7 linked regions of the Macaca mulatta genome follow. The protein of the gene in region 2 interacts with the protein of the main gene of each other region in a pairwise test. Links are inferred from orthologs where the notes say so. Each region holds a gene or a part of one and is shown on either strand. Other genes may lie near its edges.

Region 1 (3,500 bases), on a different chromosome or scaffold from region 2:
AAATGTAGGCCTGTAATCCCACACTTTGGGAGGTTGAGGTGGGAGGACTGCTTGAGCCCAGGAGTTCAATACCAGTTTGGGCAACATAGCAAGACTTTGTCCCTACATATAAAAAAGTTAGCCGGGCATGGTGGTGTGCGTCTGTGGTCCCAACTTCTTGGGAGGCTGAGGTGGGAGGATTGCTTTAACCAGGGAGGTTGAGGTTGCAGTGAGCCATGCACTCCAGCCTGGGTGACAGAGTGAGACTCTGTCTCAAAAAAATCAAAAATCAAAAATGAAAAGAAGTGACCTGGATAATTCTTTTTCAGCTGGGTAAGGGATCTTGGGCCTGAGTACTTGTGATTAGTATTTGCGATTCACTGCCTCACAGAGAACAGCTTTAACAAGATTTTCTTCTGTTAAATGGATGTCCTCCCTATGTCCTATGAGGTGAAGATGCAAAGAAACAAGACACAGTCTTTGGTTTAGAGGAGCTTCATTTTCCTTGGAAGATAGAACACATTGGCAGCCACAGGCCAAGTAATGATGTAGTAATGAGGAGTACAGGAGAGAACATTTCTCTAGGAGGTGGATGGGGAAGATTCTATGGAAGAGATGAGAATAAAGAAACCAGGATACAGTATGAACAAATGTGGGGAAGGAGGCCAACATGGTAAGATGAGTTTGGGAACAGATAGGGGAACAGTGGGAGATATGGTTGGAGGAGAGGATTATGGACATATTTTGTAAAAATTTTTTTGAGACAGGGTCTCATTCTGTTGCCCAGGTTGGAGTGCAGCGGTGCAATCACAGCTCACTACAGCCTTGACCTCAAGGCTGGTCAAGCGGTCCTCCTGCCTCAGCCTCTCCAGTAGCTGGGACTACAGGCATATGCCACCATGCCAGGCTAATTTAAAAAATATATATATTTGGAGAGACACTGTCTCACCATGTTGCCCAAGCTGGTCCTGAACTCCTGGCCTCAAGTGATCGTCCTATCTTGACCTCCCTATGTGCTGGGATTACAGGCATGAGCCACTCTACCCAGCATAAAATTTTACATATCTATACAGATGTTCTTTCTCTCTCTCTCTCTTTACACACACACGCGCGCGCACACACACACACACACATACACCCACCCACTGGGTTAACATTTTTTAAAGAAATCTTCATGGAGCCTCAGTGTGAAATGTGAAAATGCGAAATCGTTCCCTGGACTTTGTGCGTCAGCTCTTTAACATCATGAGCTAAAAATTATTCAGTGCTATTTAAAAAACATATATGCACAATATTATGACACTGTGAAAAATTACACATCATTTTTACATATTGATTCCCACCCTTAACAATGATATTATTAGGGTAGTACAATTAATTACAATTATTTTTTTCTGTCATGATTCAAATTCAAAATGCTTTGTGTCACCCAATCGCATAGCTGTAACAGAGAGCCAGGCACACAGTAAATTCTCAGTGCTGAATACTAAATGAATCCAGGATAAAGAGAGGCTTCACACGCAAATAACAACGACTGCAATCAGAACTCTACCTGGAAAGGCGGTGGCGTCGACACGGTGGGAATGACGGCGGCTGCGGCTGCGGCTGCGGCAGCTGCGGCGGCAGCAGCACTGGCTGGGTCTGGCTGCACAGCAATGGGGCTGATCATGTGCTCCACTGTGTGGATTTTGCCATCTTCAATCATTTTAGGGGCTGGAGCTGCTGGAAACATGGAATACTGGGCCCCAATGGCAGGGATGGCTACTGTAAGAGAAGCAAGAAGGAAAAATGGGTCAATCACTTTCAGTTGCTGAGGGGGGTCCAGCACTTGCTCTAAGATATTTTTTATTTTTATTTAAAAAAAAACTTTTCTTTCTTTTGAGACAGGGTCTCACTCTGTGGCCCAGGCTGAAATGCAGTGGTGCGATCAAGGCTCACTGCAGCCTCAATCTCTTGGCCTCAAGCGATCCTCCCACCTCAGCCTCCTGAGTAGCTGGAACTACAGGCACAGGCCACCTTGCCCAGCTATTTTCTGTTGTTGTTGTAGAGACAGGGTTTCGCCACATTGCCCAGGCTGGTCTTGAACTCCTGAGCTCAAGCAATCCAACTGCCTTGGCCTCCCAAAGTGCTGAGATTACAGGTGTTAGCCACCGCACCCAGCCGAAGATATTTTTTTAAAACCACGTTTAGAGGTCAGGGGCCTCTCTAAGCTCACTATTGTTCTCTCAGTACAAGCCATGTACCCAGATGCCTGCTCCCCAAGAGGAAGGGATAGGCGGTGGCAGGTAACTACCCCTGCCTGTCGTGGAAGAGACCCCTAGAGTTAGGCTTCTGCACCAATATTTTCTATTTCTACAGAAAAATCAGTTTGAATCTTATTCTTGATGTCCTACTGAGCAAGAAAGGGCCTCTGACTATGGGAAAACAGGCTTAGACAAAGAAGTGAGATCAGAGGCTTGAGGCCTACCGCCTGTGAGAGTTGGGCCCGCCTGTTCCTTCCTACTCACCTCACTCATTACCAGTCCCACTGCCTTTTTTTCACTTTCACCACTATTTAAGAAACAGGTGCTGTTGAGGGTTTCATTCTGAGAACTCAGACCTCCGTACATCCTCCCCACCCTTTATTTCAGATTTTACCATTACCGATTCAAGGAAAAACACACGGTAAAAAAAAAAATAGCACATTCCCCAATTTCTTCATGTCCACTCAAAGAAGGGAACCTGTGGAGTGATTGGCTTTTAGTGGGACCTCCCAATTCAAAGAATTTCTGAAAGTCCAAAATTATGATTTCAACGAGAGATTCAAACAGATAGCAGTTATTGAATGTCAAGGTACAGTAAGAAGAGATCAAAAGGAAAAGATACTAGCCCTGATATGTGTGTGTCGGGGGGCGGTGGGGGGTGTATTTGTGTGTTTGTGTGTGTTGAAAGGATAAGCAAAAATATGAAATGTGTACACAAAGAATCTTTCTATTTCTGGTTTTCTCCAACTGTAGGTACATTTATTCTAATAAGGATAGACTCAATCAAAGGTAAAGAGACAAATGATTATAAGCTAAACAATGGTATGGCCATTTGATAAAATACACCTAAAACCTGAATCAAATATTTTACCTGCCTTTCCAACCATATCTTCCACTGGTCTTGCGCCCAGATACTTCACCACCACCCTGGTGCCTCTCCTAAAATACAATGTTCTCATTTTCTGGATGATCAGAAATAGACACCAAGGCCAATGGATGGGGCCCAGAGAGGGTTGTGAGTTTAAGCTACAAGGGGTTGTATGAAGTAAATGAATTGTTCTGGCTATCAGCCCACAGGAATTTCTACCTCAGCCTCCAGGACACAACTTTACATGACTAAAGATTATTTAACAGTTCTTTTCTCTTGTTAAACCTTAAGCTGCCTTAACTTGCCAACAGGAGTCCCCTTCCCAACAAGTAGAAGCGACAACTCCCATATCCAGGCTCTATTTTATGAAGTTACAGAGCTGTAGGATCAGTTTTACTTTGCCCACAGTG
Region 2 (3,500 bases):
CTCTTCTCAAAGTATGTTGAGATCAGGGACTCTGGGTTTGCTTACAAAAGCTGTGCCCTGCACAGGGTCACCCAGCAAAAGAAGCCTGTGGAGGTTGGAAACAGCCTTTCCCTCGGGGCTGTGCCCACCAGAGAGGCTGCTTTGTCCTGCTTTTGCACAAAGATGCTTTATGTACATGCTGCAGCCCTGATTGGCTTCCTGGGAAGGACCTCCTCCTTGCAGGCCCACTCTACCCCAGTTCCAGCTCCACTTACCCATCAAGTGGTGCCTCTCCACAGCAGGGTCAGCCTCGGGCTTGGAACAGATCTTGGCAAACACTGGGAGCTGCCTCTTCTGAGCAGGGAGCTCAGGGAGCTTGTCAGGGGGTGCAGGAGGAGGTGGGGGAGGCAGCAGCAGAAATGGGCTCAGCCCTGTGGGCTCCTTGGCTTCAGGGCCTCCGAACAGGTTGTCCTGTAGGAAGTCCTTGGTGACTCTTGTCTCGTTCAGCACCCTCTTGTTGTCGGGGGCCTTGGATGTCTCAATGGACTTCAGTGGGAACTGGGACAGAAGCTTGCTGACCTCCAAGTTGGAGTCACCCAGGATGTGGCCCCTGTCCTCTGTCCCCTTGCTGCTCTTGACCTTGGCGGCACGCAGAATGTCTGTGACAGTAGACGTGGCAGAATCACAGTCCTGCCTGCTGCTGATAATGGGCATGGCCACCTTCTGCTTCAGAAGCTTGTCTCCGACAATCATGGAGGCTCTGGGGCGCTCATTACTGCCTGCCGCTAGAGGAGGGGTAAGAATGCAGGAAGCCAGCTCTCTGGTCCCCTCAGGAGAGCTGCCTGGTGCCTCCAGCTCCCCAGAACTCTCTTCGACCAAGATTGAGTGCTCTTTAGTGAGGCTCAGGAACTCCTGTTCCACCAACAAGGAGATCTCATCTTTGCCACTGCTGAGCTCCAGAGCTCTGGAAATGGGTCAGAGAGACAGACGGTGTTAGTGCCAGCTCACCAAGGCATGGCTCTGCAGAAGGACATAGGCCCCAGAAAACGGAGATGGATGCATAACATGACAAAAACACACTTCCAGGTAAGAGAACCCAGCGCACACAGTGGACCCCTAGAGGGTCCTATACCACAGTGGTGGGATGCAGTACTGAGAACATGGTTTTGAAAAATGGGGAAACCTGGATCCTCTCCCAACAACCTTGCTGAGTGAGCTGGGGCAAGTCACAGCCTCACTGAGCCTTAATTCTAGTCCATTCCTCCTTGTTCTTCATGCTCAGGACCTGAAGCAATGAAAGACCAGAGAAGGGGTTCACTGGCAAATTTTACCCAGCAGCCAAGGTGTCAGGAGCAAGCCAACAGCTCTAAGTGCAGAGTCTAGGGTGCTGGGGCTGAGCCCTGGGAAGCCCACAGGAGCGTAGCGCAGCCCCCATCACCTCACTGCAGAATGGTGGAGTGGATAGCCTGAGCTTACACCCTGACCCAGTCACTTCCCATCGGTATGACCCTGGGGAGATTGTTCAGCATCTTGGTATTCTGTCTCCTCCTCTCATTACTAGGAGTATCATAGAGGTGCAAAGCACTTTGAATGGTGTCTGGCATAGAGTAAGGGCGATTCAAAGGTCAGCTGTCATGTTTACACCACTGTCAACCTTGGTTGGTCCCTGCTCCTGGATCTCATACAGTAGTGTCTTGGATACTCATGTTCACTCTGGCATGGCCTCTGACCCAATCACAGCCTGTGGACTGGGTCTCACTTCATGGGCAGCACCAGCAGTTGGGAGATCCCTGCACTGATTCACTGGGGTCTTCCTGAAACTAAATATTGGCCTCAACCTGCACCTTGGACCCTGGGTCCTCCACTACACCCTTGCTGGTCAGCACCTGTCTGATAGCACCTGATGGTCTCCTGGATCCTAGGCTCCTCATTGCCACTTCTCTCCAGGTGTAGAAAGGATTGCAATCCTACTGGCCTGGCTGGTGGTCCCTGATAGCACCTGATGGTCTCCTGGATCCTAGGCTCCTCATTGCCACTTCTCTCCAGGTGTAGAAAGGATTGCAATCCTACTGGCCTGGCTGAAGGCCCCGCACAGGCACCTTCCTTCCTAGTGCTCCCAGGAGGTCAAGAGCCACCAACCTAGAACCATCTGCTGTCCTCACTCAAGGGGCTCCTATGAGAGGTGGATGATGTGGCCCACACCAAGTATTCTGGAAACGGCTCGGCCTTCTATCATGGGAGCGCTGAAGGAGAAGATGATGAAGAAGACCCAAGAGAAAAAATCGAGGAGCCCCATAGGGGAGCTCAGCTGCTGTGGCTTAGGCTTTGCAGTCTGGAGGCCCAGCACACGATCCAGCTCTGGCCAGCCTCTCAGAGGGCATGATGAGTCTCCAAAACGGTGACCATGGAATGCTTCCAGCAGGGTCCATGCCTTCCTGGTAATGCTCATTGTGTACAAGCACACACACACACATACACACAAACAGAAACAGGCAGGCACACAATTCACATGTCACCAAACACAGACCCAGGGGAGTAGTCACTGCATTTAACAGTCAATCAGAGTGGACACAGTCTACAGTCTTAGAGGCTTCCTGCTGTGCCAGACAGGAAACCTTTAGTCGCTGGGTCCTGATGAGTCCTGAGGCAAAGACTTGGCGGTTCACAGTGCTTGGGGAGCTTGGGGAAGAGCTATGTACTAAAGACATGGGAATGTACCAATAGTCCAGCAGCCAAGATAGTCGTACTTCTTGAACATTAGCCTCTCTACCCCCACATGGAACCTTACCAGGCTTGGAGGCAGAGAGTAATGCCTGCAAAAAGTAGACTCCAGACAAACAGACCTGGGTTTGAATCCAGGCACCACTGCTCTTTTCATGTCAGACCCTGGAACCTCAGTGTCTTCCCCTGTAAAACGGGTGTGGCACCTAACATCACCTGCCTCATGGGATGGTTGGGGGCATTCAGTGAGGTCACTCGTATGTGAGCTCAGCACAGTGCTGTGCACAGGAAACATTCAGTCAGTGTCGGCTGTGAGCATTAGCTAGTGTGAGCTGGTCCTGGCCAGCTCCTGGAGGGCCACTGGAGCTGTGTGTGCAGCAATGTCACTCTCTATTATTTTCTCTTTCCCTCCACTCTCTCTTCTGTCCCCTTTCCCTGACTTGTCACCTATTCCCTTCCTCTGCCTCCTTCCCATGTCTAGACTTAGGCCTATAAATAGGCCTCACTTCCCCGGCTGTGTCCCCCTGAGAACAATCAGAAAAAAGGGGCTGCCAATCCGAGGTCTCAAGTTTTAGATCCCCCTCCTCTTCCTCCTCTTCACCATCCGCCTCAAAAGGAACAGGTGTCTCAAGTCACAGAAGTCAGACATTTGAAGGACTAGTTTTTGACTCCCCTCTCCAAATACTTTGCAAAGCAAGCCACACATCAATAGCTTCACTGAATTAGAAAGACACAGTACAATTATGTTAATTTTTTAAAATTGTGATAATGGTATTGTGGTTATACCTAACAACAACAAA
Region 3 (2,840 bases), on a different chromosome or scaffold from region 2:
AGTTTATCTGTGATAAGTTTTTCATCTCTTAAGAAAAACAACGTGGTCCTAACTGGCCTTCGTAAATCTTTTCACTTAAAAGAGATGCTTTAACCAGGCGCGATGGTGTGCACCTGTAGTCCTAGCTCCTTGGGAGGATCCCTTGACCCCACGATTTCCAGGCTGCAGTGAGCCATGATCGTGCCATTGCACTACTGCCTGGGCGATAGAGTGAGACTCTGTTTATAAATAAATAAAAGAGATGCTTTTTGTGATTCTTGGCTTTGGGGGTAGGAGAGGGATTTTGATAGGTGATTTGCCTTGGTGATTTGCCAAACATGGAGATAATAGCATGTTTGGAAATGTTTCCTATATTTCTTTATGAATCCTTAAATGAAAATTTAAGATGTTACTTCTATTCTCTTTTACCCTGATAGTATTAGTAGCCAACATTTATTGGAAATTATTATATACCAGGCACTGTGTTAAGTGTACTACATGAACTATCATATTTAAGCCTCAAATTAACCCTAAAATAGTTTTTGAAACTGAAGAAGCTCTATCTCAGAGTATGTAGCTCCTTTGAGGTTAAGCCAGGATTCAAATCCATACCTTGACTGTTAGTTCTATCTTCTTAATTACTGTACTTTGTTATATTAATACAGCAGAGAAATGAAGCACAATATGATTAGTTGTATTTAGAAAACGAGCTTCTCTGAAGAACTTGCACTGTAAAGTTGATATTCAAAGTTAACACCTCAAGTTTTATGTTAAATCGAGTACGTTTTAAATGACTAGCTTAGCTTTTGAAGATGTTCTTGAGGTTTATAATCCCTGGCCCTGTAGGTTACTGTTCTTTGTGGGTTTATAATGGTGTTTGGTATAACTTTTCTCTTGATAAGATAGATAAGATGTTATCTGTTTTGTGTTCCAGTTGGCAGATGCACTACCTGAACACTCCCCTGCCAAAACCTCTGCTGTGAGCAATACAAAACCTGGCCAACCTCCTCAAGGCTGGCCAGGCTCCAGCCCTTGGAATAATCCGAGTGCTCCACCTTCGGTGCCATCTGGACTCCCACCAAGTGCAACGCCCTCCACTGTGCCTTTTGGACCAGCACCAACAGGAATGTATCCCTCCGTGCCTCCCACCGGACCACCTCCAGGACCCCCAGCACCCTTTCCTCCTTCTGGACCATCATGCCCCCCACCCGGTGGTCCTTACCCAGCCCCAACAGTGCCAGGCCCTGGCCCCACAGGGCCATATCCTACACCAAATATGCCCTTTCCAGAGCTACCCAGACCATATGGTGCACCCACAGATCCAGCTGCAGCTGGTCCTTTAGGTCCATGGGGATCCATGTCTTCTGGACCTTGGGCACCAGGAATGGGAGGGCAGTATCCTACCCCTAATATGCCATATCCATCTCCAGGGCCATATCCCGCTCCTCCTCCTCCCCAAGCCCCTGGGGCAGCACCACCTGTTCCATGGGGCACCGTTCCACCAGGAGCCTGGGGACCACCAGCACCATATCCTGCCCCTACAGGATCGTATCCCACACCAGGACTCTATCCTACTCCCAGTAATCCTTTCCAAGTGCCTTCAGGACCTTCTGGTGCTCCACCGATGCCTGGTGGCCCCCATGTGAGTGTTCAATTTGTTATTTAAAGTGTACTAATTGTACATAGCACAACTGAAAGATTGTTTCTCCCCAGTTTTGGATGGAAGATTAAGAAGGCTTTTAAGTTTTTAAAAGAGGGTGTGTGTATATTAAATGAGTAAATTTCAAACCTTCAGGTAAAGCATTTAAAAGGATGAAAGCAGTATTTTAAGTATCCCTTGTGCTAAAAAGAAAAATTTTCCAAAGATCCCCAAAGACTTTGTAATGTAGTAAGCAGTGTCCCTCAATAGCATCCTTTAGTTAAACTCTGAGATTCACTGGGCTTTTTGTTTTATTATTATTATTTCTCAGTATCGTTTCATAGCATCACACCAAAGTATAGTTCAGTAAAAGCAGTCTCTACCTGTCTAGCTTGATAGAGGTAGATTTTTAGAGAATCCAAGCCAGTGAGTAGGTAATGTTGCCCATCTTTCAAGCAATTCTCGAGCTCGGGATTGTACCCCTATTCTTTATTGTCAGTTACATGTAATGCTTTATGCTTTACTGTCAGACAAGCCAGAGTGGGGTTAACATCTTAGTTGAGGAGCCTGCCTTGGTCATATAACCGAATGGAAAAGTACCCCATTTCCCCTGTGAGGTAAGCCAAGCGAGTATCCAAACGCAGAAGATTTTCCTTAGGAAAAAAAAGTCTGTTAACTGGTTTGGTTTTTTTGTTTGTTTTTTTTTTTTTTTTGAGACAGTCTTGCTCTGTCATCCAGGCAGCAGTGCAGTGGTGCGGTCTCTTGGTTCACTGCAATATCTACCTCCCAGGTTCAAGCAGTTCTCTTGAGTAGCTGGGATTACAGGCGTGCGCCACCACACTGGCTCATTTTTTAATTTTTAGTAGAGATGGAGTTTCACCATGTTGGCCAGGCTGGTCTTGAACTCCTGACCTCAAGTGATCCGCCCGCTTCAGCCTCCCAAAGTGCTGGGATTACTGAGCCCACCGTGCACGACCAGAAAAAAAAAATCTGTTAACTCTTAATACACAAATAACTAGTCAGATCTCTGATTAGATTAGTCAAACATCCACTCCAGCTATAAAGGAAAAGAAATCTTTAAAGTACCCCCAAAACTTCCTCCTTGCATTAGTGTAATTTCTTGCTATATATATTATCTAAAAATATTTGTTTTGCAAAGTGTACGCCAGAGTAAGTGATGTGACTTGCTGTTTGGATTTATTAAGCAATAAATTTACTTTAA
Region 4 (3,500 bases), on a different chromosome or scaffold from region 2:
AGTATGTACTTCCTTAAGGCTGGATGGAGAAGAGAGCCCATAAGGTCCAGCCTATAGCCCAATTGCCACTCCTGCCCTAGTCATTTCTCTGTACATCTTGCAAAGATTAATTGAGGGATTGTGATTGTATTGACCAGAGAAGAAAGAACACAAATTTGAAAAAGAACAACTCTATTACCTGAACTGGAAATTCATTTTCATGTGTTTGTTTCTCAGAGAATTTGAATTATGAACTTCAAGATTTGTTATTTTCTTTTTCTTTCTTTTTGAGACGGGGTCTCGCTTTGTTGCCCAGGCTGGGGTTGAACTCCTGACCTCAAGCAATCCTCCTGCCTCAGCCTCCCAAGCAACTGGGATTACAGGCACAAGCCACAACACCCAGTTTACTTCAAGTTTTTTGAAGCACACATTTAGGATATTAGACTGTCTCAGAAGTGTGTTTAGTGTTTCCAGATGGAAAATAATTCACCAGTTCTTGAATTGGTTTCTCTTCTACATGATTCTCAAGTCCTGGTTTTCTTTCAGTTATACCTTAAAAGTCTATTATTTTACCATTCTGCAAAGGCTTATACATTTATATATGTTTATTAAAATTTAAATTAGATCCTCTAACTTATCGTTGTGAACATATGGCTATGTACTGAGCTAATTCTTTGGAATAAACATTTATGAGCTATAAGTATATAATTTTTAACAAAATCAGTCCAATCTTCAAAATGACAAGTGCATTTAAAATTTTGACCTTCAGGCTGAAAATGGTGAATGTGAATGTTACAGTTTATTAACTTATCAATGACCATTAGTTAAAGACCACCAGGAACACAAGCGTCATTTAGTGAAGTTGGGTCTGTTAATCGTTCAAACAAAGGAAAACAGAAACCATGGGGCCTCTCAATCAGAAGGTGTTAGAACTCATAGGATATAGGCTTGTGTTGAGCAATTTTTAGAGAGGGTTTAAGGAAGCAGGGCTTTACTCTGGAATGTATATCGTCAGGAAATGGTAGTAATTCTATGATTGGATGTGTTAACTTTTATCTAAAAGGAAAGAAAAATGGATCGAGGCCAAAACTATAACTAATAAAGAAGGGGCAGTCACTCATATCAGCCAGAATGGAGGGATGTTTGGTTATTATTGGATTTGGGCAATGCGTTTTTTTTAGTCAGCCTTCAAACATGATTGTGGAGTGGTCTTGTTTTTAATCTTAATCCATCAGAGTCACAGGGTGACTTTGTCTGATGTTGGTATTCTGTTAATGAGAGAACACCACAGCCTAGCCGTGAGTGCCAGGCCGACTCCTAACAACACCAGGGCCCAGCTGATTGTGTCAGGCTGGGACTGTTTTTCTCTTTCTCAAACATCTTCATGAGTTTAATATTCCCCTTAACAATTAAGTAATCGGTTTGATAATAATATAAGCATTTTAAGTAATGTACTTAATATTTAAAATCTCTATAATGGAGTAGATTCTGTGTTTCCTAGTTCTGTTGCTCTAAAAAGCTCTTAGCTCTAATTATAATTTTTATAATATTAAAAGTAAAGCCTAGAATACTATATTTTACCTAAATGACTCATCTTTTTTAAAGATATACATTTTCAGTCTGCATCAAAAGCAGACTGCATTATACCCAGTGCAAAAAGTGTAAAAGAATTTTATTTTACAGCAAACATCAAACCAGATGCAAACAGATTCATTATCTCCATCCCCTAATCCTGTGTCGCCTGTGCCTTTGAATAACCCAACAAGTGCCCCAAGATATGGAACAGTGATCCCTAATCGCATCTTTGTAGGAGGAATTGACTTTAAGGTACCTATTTATGCATGCAGTAAAGTGTATTTTTTCATTAGAAGTCTTTATTTCTCAGAAATTGTTTATTTGTGCAGCTATAAAATCATAACATATTTGCATAATGATTAATAGATTTCAAATTTCCTTCTTATAAAGAATCTTTCGAACCAACATGTAGGTTACATAAAGTATAAAAACTGTTTGTTCAATGTCAAATACAAGGAAATTGAGCCTCATTGACTTGCTGTAGGCTCCTAGCCAGCCACATAGTGACAGAGTGAGACTAGAAGCCTCGTTTTCTGTCTCATAGCTCCACACTCTTCCATACCAGAACTAATTATACTTTCTTGCCTATACTCCAATAGCCAAAATAATGAATGATTATAATTTTCAAAAGAGACTCAATTCTTTAAAAACTTAGTTTTATGAAATACTATTTCTTTATCCCAACTCTTATCTCAGATTCCTGAGCAACCTCCTAGGCGTCTATTCTTTGCAAAGCACTTTCTATGTTAGAGTTTAGGATTTGATTACCAGAAAACTCCTGTGTCCTTGTCAAAATAAAGCATCTTAAAAATAATATATTTAAGCAGAAAAAAATAACTACTCAGTACTAGACTTAGTACCTGGGTGCCTAAATAATCTGTACAACAAACCCCCATGACGATTTATCTTTATAACAAATCTGCACGTGTACCCCGAACCTAAAATAAAAGTTTTTTAAAAAGTAATATATTTACATCATGTAATCAGCTATTCCACTCTTCCAAGGAAGCATAGTTCATGAGATGATGTGCAGTGCCCCCCACCCCGCATGAGTAAACACCTACAAGAAAGGCATGCATAGATACTGTAAGTGGAATACTCTTACTTTCAAATGGATATATGGAAGGATTTCCAAGACTCTATTTTACATATTAGAAATTATAGGGAGAGTTATTTTGGACAAAAAAAAACTTTCCTTATACCATTAGGTGTGATATTTGACATTTATAACTCACTATTTCCATATAATCAATCTGTTACAATTTGGGTGGAATTTCTTTTTTCCTGCACAAGAGAAATGTTACACTTAGTGTATTTGCCAAAACAATGAGTCTTAAACAAGTATATGATTGTTTCACTAAAAATAAAGTAAGAAAAATTATTTCTTATAAAATATTTATTTTTAAAAAGGTTTTCTGTATCTGTGGAAAATACTGATGGCTGGCAAAAATGTTCAATTTGGGAATTCATTTATATTACAATAGCTTAGCATGTTTTTAAAAATAAGTTATCAATAAATATAAATATGTGTATGGCCAAGTTATTTTAGGTTACTGAAGCCCATTAGCTGCAGCATGAACTTTGGAAACGGTTGTTATAAGGCAGCCATAGCTTTACGGTAACTGCTAGGGCTCCCTCCTGTATGCTTATACCTTTTTCAAAACCACAGATAAAGTCCAGCAAGGAAATAATTTACTGTAATAGCAAGTAGTCACAGACTTTTTAACCTTTCATTTTTAGAAGCGAACAGACTATCTCTCTTAATGCTTACTTTTCTTGACTGTCCCTTTGTCACTGAAGAAGTGGAGCTACAAAATTCAGCTATGATTATTCTACCAGAGAATAGTTGGAATTAATTTGTATTCAAATATCTAGTAACAATTCTTATTCTAGCATTGATTTCATTTCCTGTTAACTGAAATAAAAGGCATTCAGTTTTTCTTAGA
Region 5 (3,956 bases), on a different chromosome or scaffold from region 2:
ATGAAGTTTCCAATAATTTTTTTTTCTTTTTTTCCTTCTTTTTTCTGTTTGTTTTTAGATAAAAATTTTGAGAAAAAAAAAGAAAAAAAAAATTCTAATAAAAGAAGAAAAATGGTCTTTGGGTTTTTGCCAGACTTGGTTGGGAATGCATAGGGTTGCTGGCCTGGGACCTGGGGTGGACCTCAGGGCCTTGACTGCTTCAGGGCCCCGACCTGCCAGGATGGCCAGGCTCAGGCCAGTCAGCTTGCCCAGGGCCTCCAGGGGCCGCTGCCCGCTGGCTTCCCCAGTGCTAGGGAGAGGGCTCTGTTCTCATGCAGCCTTATTAACAGCATCACGAGATTCTGATTTCTCCACTTTCCTGAAGAGATGGGCCTAGAGAGCTGGTAGATTTCGTGCTAGGTCAGGCAGCTGGAAACACAGGTTTAGATCTGGGTCTGGGTCTCCCAGCAAAGCCTTTGCTCACCCAGCCCCGCCCAGGGCCAAACACAGGAGCTTCAGTGTTTCCTGAGCATGGATGGCTTTTGAGTTTTATTAACAAAAATACTCTGGTCCCAGAACAACAGACTGGTGTGGCCTGCACTAGTGGTGTGGGGGTGGGGATTGAGCCCCCCCAAGGGCTCACAGGGGGACCCGGTAGGTGGGGATACTGGTCTGTAGCCCCATTTGGCCAGGCAGAGCCCCTTCCATTCACACGGAGGTGAGAGCCGGGAAGGGGAAGCCGGCCCCAGCTGGACTCCCAGCAGCCTTGGTTGGGCTTTGAAGCCAGAGCGGGGTGGGAGTGAAATCAAGGTGTGAAGTTGTGGGGGGGGGTGGGCAGGCCCAAGGCAGCCATTTGGTGTGGGGGATGGGGCTGGTGGAGGTGAGGGGGCTCCAGGGCTGGGGGAAGGGAGCAGGAGGTTTGTGATGGAGGCAGAGGGGCCCAGCAATGGCTCAGTACATGGGTTTGGAGCCCACATCCAGATAGCCCCCAGGCCCGGGGTATGGTAAAGGGAAGGGGCCCCCTTGGAGAAAGTGCGGGGCAAAGGGTGCCGCGGGTGGAGCCGCTGGGTACCCGGAGCCCCCTGGCCCGGGTGGCAGCTCCAGAAATGCAGCCGAGTAGGGGCCTGAGCGCCCAGAGTCTGGAGCCTCCGGGAAGCTGGGGCTCCTGACATGGGAGAGAAGGATGTCAGAGCAGTGCCGAGGGTCCCGCAGCCCCGCCTGGTCCCCTGTCCCACTCACCTGGTGGGAAGGTGACTGGGGGCCCCGTGGAAAGCCGCAGGATGCATGAGGTAAGCCTCGGCACTGGGGCCACCACACGGAGGTGCCAGGGCAGTGGTGACTTCCCCGGGGGCTGAGGCCTGTTCTGGGTCTGATTCATGAATGTCTCCACCCAGAGTGGAGTCGCAGGGACCACCTGGTGCGTCCGGGGAGAGGGAAGGGAGAGGTTGGGCTAGGGAGGATCCGTGTCTCAGGCCTGGCCCCATCGCCATTGGGACTATACTCACCTCCGCTCCCATAGGCCTCTGTGGCTGCTGGCTCTGGGCCCCGCAGTTTCCTCTTCACACGGGCATCTCGCTCCCTGGGAAACAGTGGTGGTGGTGATGATGATGACGGTGATGGCCATGGTGATGGTAATAACAGTACTTACCCAGTGCCAGGCATTTCACCCTCCCAGGGACCCTGTCGGGTAGGGGCCATCATTATACCCATTTTACAGATGAAACTGAAGGCCAGAAAATTAAATAACTAGAAAGTGGCAGAGCTGGAATTTTGTCCCTGCTCAAGCTTGTCCATGCTTTACTATTGTGTTTAGTATCAATGGAAACTCCTTCCCAGAGGCAAGGCCAGGGCACGGTCTCACCTAGCTCATCCTTCTGCCCCATCTCCACTCTGAGCCTCTCTCTGGAATCCTCTTCTGTCCCCTCTTCACCTGCTGAACCCATCCTTTTTCTTTTCTTTTTTTTTTTTTTTTTTGAGACGGAGTCTCGCTCTGTCACCCAGGCTGGAGTGCAGTGGCTGGATCTCAGCTCACTGCAAGCTCCGCCTCCCGGGTTCACGCCATTCTCCTGCCTCAGCCTCCCGAGTAGCTGGGACTACAGGCGCCTGCCACCTCGCCCGGCTAAGTTTTTGTATTTTTAGTAGAGACGGGGTTTCACTGTGTTAGCCAGGATGGTCTCGATCTCCTGACCTCGTGATCCGCCCGTCTCGGCCTCCCAAAGTGCTGGGATTACAGGCTTGAGCCACCTCGCCCGGCCCCTTTTTCTTTTCATTTTTAAAATTTGAGATGCAGTCTTGCTATGTTGCCCAGGCTGGAGTGCAGTCTGGAGTGCAGTGACATGGTCACAGCTCACTGCATCCTCCGACTCCTGGGCTCAAGTGATCTTTCCATCTCAGCCTCCTAAAGTGCTGTGACTACAGGCATGAGCCACCAAACCTATCCTTGCCTTAGTGCTAGCGCAAGTTCCTCAAGGAAGTCCTCCCTGATCTCCGAGAGCACACACCCCTCCCTCATAACATCTGTCACAGTTATGAGACAGTTAAATGCAAATGCTTTTGCATTTGATGGAGTGACTCCTTGGTTCATGTCTGTCTCTTCTGACAAACTGGAAGCTCCTTGAGGGCAGGGGCCAGCTCCGAGGGGCTACACTTGGAACAGTTCCCACGGCCTTATGGAACCTTTACTGTCCAAGATAACCTGGCTTCCCCTCCCCTGCCTGACTCCTACTCACTCCACTGCAGCCACGCCACAGGCACAGCCCCACCTCAGGGCCTTTGCACGTGCTGTTCCCACTCCCTAGTGTGCTTTGCCAGATGCCCACCCGGCTCCCTCCCATACTTCCTTCAGCTCTTTCTCAAGTGTCTTCTTCCTGCCGAGGCCTTTTCAGGCCTCTTATCTAATAGCTCACCCCAGTCCTTCCTATCCTTTCCTGTTTATTTCTCTTCTCCTTTTTTCCTTTTTTTTTTTTTTGTGACAGAGTTTTCTTTCTTTCTTTCTTTTTTGATACGAAGTTTTACTCTTGTTGCCTAGGCTGGAATGCAATGGCACGATCTCGACTCACTGCAACCTCCACCTCCTGGGTTCAGGAGATTCTCCTGCCTCAGCCTCCCGAGTAGTTGGGATTACAGGCGCGTGCCACCATGCTTGGCTAATTTTTGTATTTTTAGTAGAAACAGGGTTTCACTGTGTTGGCAGGCTGGTCTCAAACTTCTGACCTCAGGTGATCTGCCCGCCTCAGCCTCCCAGAGTGCTGGGATTACAGAAGCAAGCCACCGCACCTGGTCTCTCTTCTCTTTAGAATGGCTTCCTAACAGATGGCATTTTATTTATTTCTCTTGTCTGCTTGTCTGCTGTCCCCACTAGAAATCAGTTCCATCAGGGCTGGGGCTTTGGTTTACTTTGTTTGATTTATCTCCAGTGCCTGGAACTGTCCCTGGCACATAGCAGGTACTATATAAGTATTTGCTGAGTCAGTGAATGAATGTTTTTACTTACCACTGTATTCCTGATGTCCAGCACGGTGCCTGGCACACAGTGAGTGATTAATAAACATTTGTTGAATGCATGAACGAATGAATGAACAACTCCCACCTCTTACAGTTTCTGCCGTTCTCCCGGAAGCCTTTGGCAAAGGGATTGGCTGCAATCTTCAGTTGTGTGATCTGGGGACACACATCCAGGGTCAAAGCAACTGTGGACTGGGCAGGGCGCCACCACCCCCTCAAGCAGGGGCACTCACCCGTGGGTTCTGGTAGGCCGTCACGGAGATGAATGTGGTCTCCGGAAAGCGAAAGGAAGCCATGCCCCCCCAGTGCTGGCTGCAGAGCTGAGCTGCCCGAACTAGGTGTATGCGGGGTTGGTACTTGTGCATGGAGTGCAGGATCAGCTGGGAGGGAGGAAATGGGAGTGATTCCCTGCCCTGTGCCCCAGCCTTGGCCTCCCTTCTAGCACCCCCCAACCCTATCCTAGAGTCCCAGCC
Region 6 (3,989 bases), on a different chromosome or scaffold from region 2:
CACCCACCGCATCCACGATCCCCGACCCCCGTCCTCATCCCCATCAACATCCGGGATGTGTAACTCTCCATCCCAGACTCAAAAATCTGAAGCCACCCGCGCTGTGATCATGCACAAGTCTTAATTTAATGGGTAAAAACATTAAATTATTACAACATTTTTTTCCAATAAAGCATAATAAATAGAATCCATTTCTTTTAAAACGCTGTACAAGAGACTGGAAAACAAGCTTCCAACAGAATATGAATAACTCATTCTACCTTCTTACTGATTTGGGACTCTCCCCCCACCCCCTGTGCCCGAAGCAACGTGCACACTTCAGGTCTCTGAGCACAGCCAGCCAAGGTCACCAGGTTCTACGCTCCCTGGAGGTGATTTCACTCTTAAACGCTCTGCCCTTGGGTCTTGTCTGAGGCCCCAACAGCCTGGGGCGCAGAAAAAACTGAACCGTTTAGGTGGCTGTGGCCTGCAGGAGCCCTTCTCTGTCCAACACACCAAAAGGAGTGAGAAAAACAAATGAGAAACGTCCCCCAAATACCCACACACCCCAAAAACCAACACCTATAAGCCACAAACTGGTGCTCCTCCCCTACTGCGGCAGCAGGCAGGAGAAACAAGAAGAGAAAGTGTTTCTTCCCCTCTCTTCTGATACATAACCCCACGGGGTTCTCTTCCTGGATAGAGTGACCCCAGATCACAGCGGGGCCACCATGTGCCCCTGCAGGATGTCCACGAGGTCCTGAGCCCCTCTCTGCAGTGCCAGTTCCAGGGGTGTGAGACCCCTGGCGTCCCTGCGATGGAGATCAGATTCAGCCGCCAGAAAGCTGACCACAGCAGTGTGACCCTCTTGCACCGCCAGATGGATAGGAAGTGCCCCGGTGCCATCAGGCGCGTTGACATCAGCCCCGTGCTCCACTAGGACCTTCAGGGTGTCCAGGAATCCAGTGCGGGCTGCGTCATGGACTGGACTGGTGCCGGAGGTGTCCTGGACATTGGGGCTGGCACCTTGCTTCAGCAACTCCAGGGCGATGGCGGTGCTGCCAAACATCATGACCTGTGTGAGGGACAGAGGATCAGGAGGTCCTCAAGGGAGGGGTTTCCAAAAAAGGGGTTACTGGCCGGGCGCGGTGGCTCACGCCTGTAATCCCAGCACTTTGGGAGGCCGAGGCGGGCGGATCACGAGGTCAGGAGATCGAGACCATCCTGGCTAACACGGTGAAACCCCGTCTCTACTAAAAATGCAAAAAATTAGCCGGGCGAGGCGGCGGGCGCCTGTAGTCCCAGCTACTCGGGAGGCTGAGGCAGGAGAATGGCGTGAACCCGGGAGGCGGAGTTTGCAGTGAGCCGAGATCGCGCCATTGCACTCCAGCCTGGGCGACTAAGCGAGACTCTGTCTCAAAAAAAATAAATAAATTAATTAATTAATTAAAAAAAAAGGGGTTACTGGAGAGAGAAGGGTCATCCAGAAAGAGGCATCTCCCCGGAACAGGAAATGCCAGAGGAGGGATCCTCTAGTGAACGGAGAAGCTGCATAAGCCCCCAGGGGACTGTTTGAGATGCAGAGAAAAAGTTCTCCTGGGAATAGGGACCCCCCCCAAAAGCTGGTCACTCCCTTAAGAATGAGACCCCCCAACCCAGAGAACAGCCCCCATGGAAACTTTCAAGGAACCTAAGACTCTCCCGCAAGGGACCAAAGACGCCCCCAGATATGGGCAATCACCAGGAAATATAAAATCCCCTCCAGGAAATGGGCCCCCAGAGATGGAGAACTACCCCCAAAGAATTGATAGTCCTCATAAGGGAAAAGAGATGTCAAAGGAAAGCGAACCCCACCCCCTTCTCCAGGAATTAGCCTCCTCCTGTATAATGGTGATGTCACCTCAGAGTACCTGAGAGCTCCCTTCAGGAAGCGGGATTCCAAAAGCAATAATAAAAGAAGAGAAAAGAGACTCCTCTCTAAACTCTCCCAGGGAATATAAGGATGTCTTGCGATCTGACACTGTTCCTCCACTGGGGCCCCCACACTATAGCTAGGATCCGCATAATCTTTAGGAATGAAGACCCCACCCCCAAGTAACCAGATATGTCTCAGAGAGCCCCCTACAAAATGAGGAACCCCTGGAGACAGGACCTCTCCTTCCAGAGATCGGATCTCCCCATAGAAGCCCCAAGAAACGTGAGCCGTCCCCATGGAAACGGTATCCAAAGGAGCTGAACCCGCACCCACGGAATAAGAACCTCCCCAGGGAAAGTGAATCTTCCGCACTCAGAGAACCAGGAATCCTCCCAGAGAAGATGCTAAAAAGCTCTCCCCTCCCCCCACAACCTAGCCTCACCCACCACCCACCTTCGAAAGGGGACCGTGGGGGAACAATGAAAGCCTAGAGAAGAAGGACCGGTTTCCAGTGGGTCACCACCAGGGCCAGGAGACCAGAGGAGAGGGGCTCTGGGGTCTCGATCCTCACCCCGCCGAGCCACCCCGCCCCCGACCTGGGCCGGCCCGGCCTCACCTGCAGCGCCGTCTTGCCGAAGCGGTTGAGGGCGTCGGGATGCACCAGCTCGCGGTGCAGAAGGCGGCGCACCTCCTGCACGTCGCCCCGGGCCGCGGCCCCACTCAGCCGGTCGCCGGAGCGGACCTCCTCCAGCAGCATGTCGACACTGACGGCCTGCGAAGACCCCCGCCCCGCCCCAACCCGGCGCTGTCAGCACGGAGCAACCGGCGGGCGCTGGCCCGAGCAGCCCTCCCGGGACGCGGCCGCGGTGCGCCCGGCTGCTCTGCACTCCCGGCCCGGCTCCCCAGCCCAAGACCCCGGCCCTCCCAGCGGGCTCCTCCCCCTGTCAGCCGGAGGCAGGCGAGGGGCTGGGAGCTGGGCCCAACCCTCGGCCGCCGGCGGGGCCCTGCCCGGCGCCCGCCCCTTGGGGGCCGGGTCTCCCCCTAACTCACCCTCCCTCCTCCTTGCCGGGCGGGGTCTGCTCTGAGCCTGCGCCGCCGCCGCCGCCGAGGCAGCAGCCAGGGGGCGGAGCCAACGTGCTCCCGGCCACGCCCCGAACGCCGCGGATTTGTTTTCTTACAAACTCGCTACTGTGTAGCGAATCCGCGTTGCCCGGCGCGCGACCTTACGGCGTTCCTCCCGCAGGGCCTGCATAACCAATGGCTGCGCGTCGCCGGGGAAATTTCGAGCTCGGCGTGAAATGCGTTGTTCCTGATTGGTCAGAGCTCAGCAACCGATGGACCGCCGGCAATGGCGGGGTTTTCGGTTTTCAAATGAACCCGGCAGGCGGGAAAGACGGCCGCTTTAACTGACCCAGGGAGAAAGGTCAGGGGCAGGGTAGCGCGGGCTGCTCTGGGACCTCGGCGCCTCCTGGGGGAAGGGAGGCAGGGCTGGGGCCACCCAATCCGAGGTCCCACTACTAATAGATATTCATTGGCCCTTACTACGCGCTGGGCGCTTTATTTCATTCATTCATTCATTCACTGTGTGCAGGGGGCGTCCTGGGAGCTGGACGCGCACATTCAAGCAACTAAATAATATTAGATAGTGTCAAGCACCGTAATAAAGGGAAACGGGGAGACGGGGTGGATGAGGAAGGGATCACCCTGACTGGCTCAGACTGAGCCAAGAGGAAAGGAGCCTGCAACTGCCACGTGGGAAGGCCTGGGAGGACATAGTCGCAGCCAGACAGGGACTCAGGTCTTCGCTCAAAGATTTACTTAGTACCTCCTAGAGGTTCCCGAGTGGAGAGCACGCCAGGAGGCCCCTGCTGCAGGGACACCTATGGTCTGGGGCCAGAGACGATAGTTAATTTTTATTTATTTATGTATTTATTTTTGAGTCAGGGTCTCACTCCCGTCACCCAGGCCGGAATGCAGTGGTGCGATCACAGCTCACTGCAGCCTCGACTTCCCCGGCTCAAGTGATCCTCCCGCCTCAGCCTCCCGAGTAGCTGGGACTACAGGGACTACTGGCTAATTTGTATTTTTAGTAGAG
Region 7 (2,191 bases), on a different chromosome or scaffold from region 2:
AAGTTACAAAGCCTAATGGCAGGTCTGGAACTAGAACCTGGGCCTCCTGACTTGTGCCCTGCTCTTTCCACTAAATCTCGATGCCTCAGGTTCGACCCAAACCAGAAGGCAATGGGGCACATGTCGCCATGTTGTCCAGGCTGGTCTCAAACTCTTGAGCTCATGCAGTCCACCAGCCTCAGCCTCCCAAAGTGCTAGGATTACAAGCGTGGGCCACCACGCCCGGCCACTCAGTCTTTAAAAGGAAGGAAATTCTGACACATGCTACCAAGTGGATGAACCTTCAGGATATTATGCTAAGTGAAATACGCCAGTCACAAAAAGTAAATACCATATGATTCCATGTATATGAGGTTCCTAGAGTAGTCAAAAAGCATAGATACAGAAAGTAGACTGGTGGTTGTCAGGGGCTGGGAAAGGGAGAAATGAGTTATTTTTAATGGGTACAGAGTTTCAGTTTTATAAGGTGAAGAGTTATAGAGATGGATGGTAGCGATGGTTGTATAACGTCATGAATGTATTTAACACCACCGAACTGTATACCTTAAAATAGTTAAGGTAGTAAATTTTATGTTATATGTATTTTACCACAATAAGAGAAGTTGGAAAAAAATATATAGCTGCTAAAAATTACATTTGTAAAAAATATATTTTAAAACATAGGAAATGGACTCAGATGGTATTTTTTGTGTTGTTGTTTTGGTTTGTTTTTGAGATGAGGTTTTGCTCTGTTGCCCAGGCTGGAGTGCAGTGGCATTATCACAGCTCACTGCAGCCTCGACCTCCCAGGCTCAAGCAATTTTCCTGCCACCGAGGCCACCTAGTTTTTCTATTTTTTGTAGAGGTGGGGTTTTTCCATGTTGCCCAGGCTAGTCTCGAACTCCTGGGCTCAAGTGATCCACCAGCCTTGGCTTCTTAAAGTGCTGGGATTACAGGCATAAACCACTGCACCTGGCCCATTTTTTTTTTTTCTCATGAGGTTAGTTTAGTTAGAAAGCTGGTTAAGAGTGGGCTCACACGTGTAATACCAGCACTTTGGGAGGCTGAGGCGGGTGGATTGCTTGAGCCCGGGAGGTCGAGCTGCAGCGAGCTGTGATTGTGCCCCCGCACTCCAGCTTGGGCAACAGAATAAAACCCTATCTCAAAAAAAAAAAAAAAAAAAAGAAAGTTGACTAAAAGTATAAGTAAATATGTAGAAAAAGTATTGTATGGAGATATGTAAAAATATCAATATGGTTTCTGTGGATATGGAGATTGATGACAAATTTGAATCTTATATTTATTTTTTATCTTTTCTATGAGAAGCATGCAGACTTTAAAAAAACTACCTCATAAGCAGAAAAAGTTACTTCAATAGCAAAAAGATCCATTTATATGAAGTTCTGGAAAAGGCCAAACTATTGGGATGGAAAACAGATCAGTGGTTGCCTGGGCCTGGGGGACCTTTTGGTGGGGTCACAAGACTGGATACAACTATATCCATTAGTCAAACTTCAGACAAGGAGAAAGGTACTCTATGTAAATTATACCTCAATAAACCTTTCTAAAAAGAAAAAATGTAGGAAAACAAAACAAAACAAAACAACAAAAAAACAACAAGACAATTCCTGATTCCCGTAGCTATTTATGGTGCAAAGCTGTAGCTGACCCAGGGAAGCTGGAATATGTCCCTTTCCTAAAGGGCCACTTTGGGGTTCAGAAGCTGACATTTAAGGGAAATAAAGAGCTAGCAATAACTAGAAATCAAGTTCATTGGCCAAGTCTGCTTCCTCACCACCACTGCCATGCCAAGGTCCCGGGCCAGGGTCTTCAGCTCTCGGGCCAGCTGCATCATCAAGGCCAAGCCTGCAGGACGAGGAGAAGCAGAGAGGCAGGGCAGTGGAAAACCAGGGACGGGACTGGCCAGAGACCAGACTCCAGAGCTGGGAGGCGAGGTCACGTTCCACTGGCCCCAGGCTCTGCCACATCACTCACCTTCCCTCTGCTGACCTCCCAGAAGTGGGGAGACCACCGCAGTGACCGAGTCCACCACCACCACCTTCATAGTCCCTGAAGAACCAGTCACCTAAAGGAATGTGGGGGAAGCACTCATGAACCTGTTGGCCTCTAGGACACATTACAGGACAAGCTTGCTTTTCTATCTAAAACTAGTAAGAAATAGCCCCCCTCATCCCAAATACAGCAGGCTGCA

Evidence for each region.
Region 1: the proteins of C1H1orf94 (region 2) and RBM47 interact in binary tests that used the Homo sapiens proteins (3 or more experiments, as listed by UniProt). The two-hybrid records come from large-scale screens. The link is inferred for Macaca mulatta from reciprocal best matches to the Homo sapiens genes C1orf94 and RBM47.
Region 3: the proteins of C1H1orf94 (region 2) and MAPK1IP1L interact in binary tests that used the Homo sapiens proteins (3 or more experiments, as listed by UniProt). The two-hybrid records come from large-scale screens. The link is inferred for Macaca mulatta from reciprocal best matches to the Homo sapiens genes C1orf94 and MAPK1IP1L.
Region 4: the proteins of C1H1orf94 (region 2) and BOLL interact in binary tests that used the Homo sapiens proteins (3 or more experiments, as listed by UniProt). The two-hybrid records come from large-scale screens. The link is inferred for Macaca mulatta from reciprocal best matches to the Homo sapiens genes C1orf94 and BOLL.
Region 5: the proteins of C1H1orf94 (region 2) and TBX6 interact in binary tests that used the Homo sapiens proteins (3 or more experiments, as listed by UniProt). The link is inferred for Macaca mulatta from reciprocal best matches to the Homo sapiens genes C1orf94 and TBX6.
Region 6: the proteins of C1H1orf94 (region 2) and CDKN2D interact in binary tests that used the Homo sapiens proteins (3 or more experiments, as listed by UniProt). The two-hybrid records come from large-scale screens. The link is inferred for Macaca mulatta from reciprocal best matches to the Homo sapiens genes C1orf94 and CDKN2D.
Region 7: the proteins of C1H1orf94 (region 2) and RAD51D interact in binary tests that used the Homo sapiens proteins (3 or more experiments, as listed by UniProt). The two-hybrid records come from large-scale screens. The link is inferred for Macaca mulatta from reciprocal best matches to the Homo sapiens genes C1orf94 and RAD51D.

The regions. Positions count from the first base shown.
Region 1 is NC_133410.1:39,671,728-39,675,227, forward strand, and holds part of RBM47 (RNA-binding protein 47), read right to left. Parts: intron 1,744-3,500; coding exon 1,532-1,743; intron 1-1,531. UniProt on the Homo sapiens protein: Single-stranded RNA-binding protein that functions in a variety of RNA processes, including alternative splicing, RNA stabilization, and RNA editing. Functions as an enzyme-substrate adapter for the cytidine deaminase APOBEC1.
Region 2 is NC_133406.1:206,643,400-206,646,899, forward strand, and holds part of C1H1orf94 (uncharacterized protein C1orf94 homolog), read right to left. Parts: intron 944-3,500; coding exon 255-943; intron 1-254.
Region 3 is NC_133412.1:128,193,152-128,195,991, forward strand, and holds part of MAPK1IP1L (MAPK-interacting and spindle-stabilizing protein-like), read left to right. Parts: intron 1-913; coding exon 914-1,621; intron 1,622-2,840.
Region 4 is NC_133417.1:102,698,872-102,702,371, reverse strand, and holds part of BOLL (protein boule-like), read left to right. Parts: intron 1-1,662; coding exon 1,663-1,806; intron 1,807-3,500. UniProt on the Homo sapiens protein: Probable RNA-binding protein, which may be required during spermatogenesis. May act by binding to the 3'-UTR of mRNAs and regulating their translation.
Region 5 is NC_133425.1:28,475,351-28,479,306, reverse strand, and holds the end of TBX6 (T-box transcription factor TBX6), read right to left. Parts: intron 3,864-3,956; coding exon 3,717-3,863; intron 3,640-3,716; coding exon 3,569-3,639; intron 1,559-3,568; coding exon 1,485-1,558; intron 1,430-1,484; coding exon of another isoform or gene 1,394-1,429; coding exon 1,219-1,393; intron 1,145-1,218; coding exon 931-1,144; 3' UTR 501-930; downstream 1-500. UniProt on the Homo sapiens protein: T-box transcription factor that plays an essential role in the determination of the fate of axial stem cells: neural vs mesodermal. Acts in part by down-regulating, a specific enhancer (N1) of SOX2, to inhibit neural development.
Region 6 is NC_133424.1:11,288,104-11,292,092, forward strand, and holds CDKN2D (cyclin-dependent kinase 4 inhibitor D), read right to left. Parts: upstream 2,801-3,989; 5' UTR 2,652-2,800; coding exon 2,511-2,651; intron 1,055-2,510; coding exon 695-1,054; 3' UTR 158-694; downstream 1-157. UniProt on the Homo sapiens protein: Interacts strongly with CDK4 and CDK6 and inhibits them.
Region 7 is NC_133421.1:44,622,762-44,624,952, forward strand, and holds part of RAD51D (DNA repair protein RAD51 homolog 4), read right to left. Parts: intron 2,066-2,191; coding exon 1,975-2,065; intron 1,846-1,974; coding exon 1,775-1,845; intron 1-1,774. UniProt on the Homo sapiens protein: Involved in the homologous recombination repair (HRR) pathway of double-stranded DNA breaks arising during DNA replication or induced by DNA-damaging agents. Bind to single-stranded DNA (ssDNA) and has DNA-dependent ATPase activity.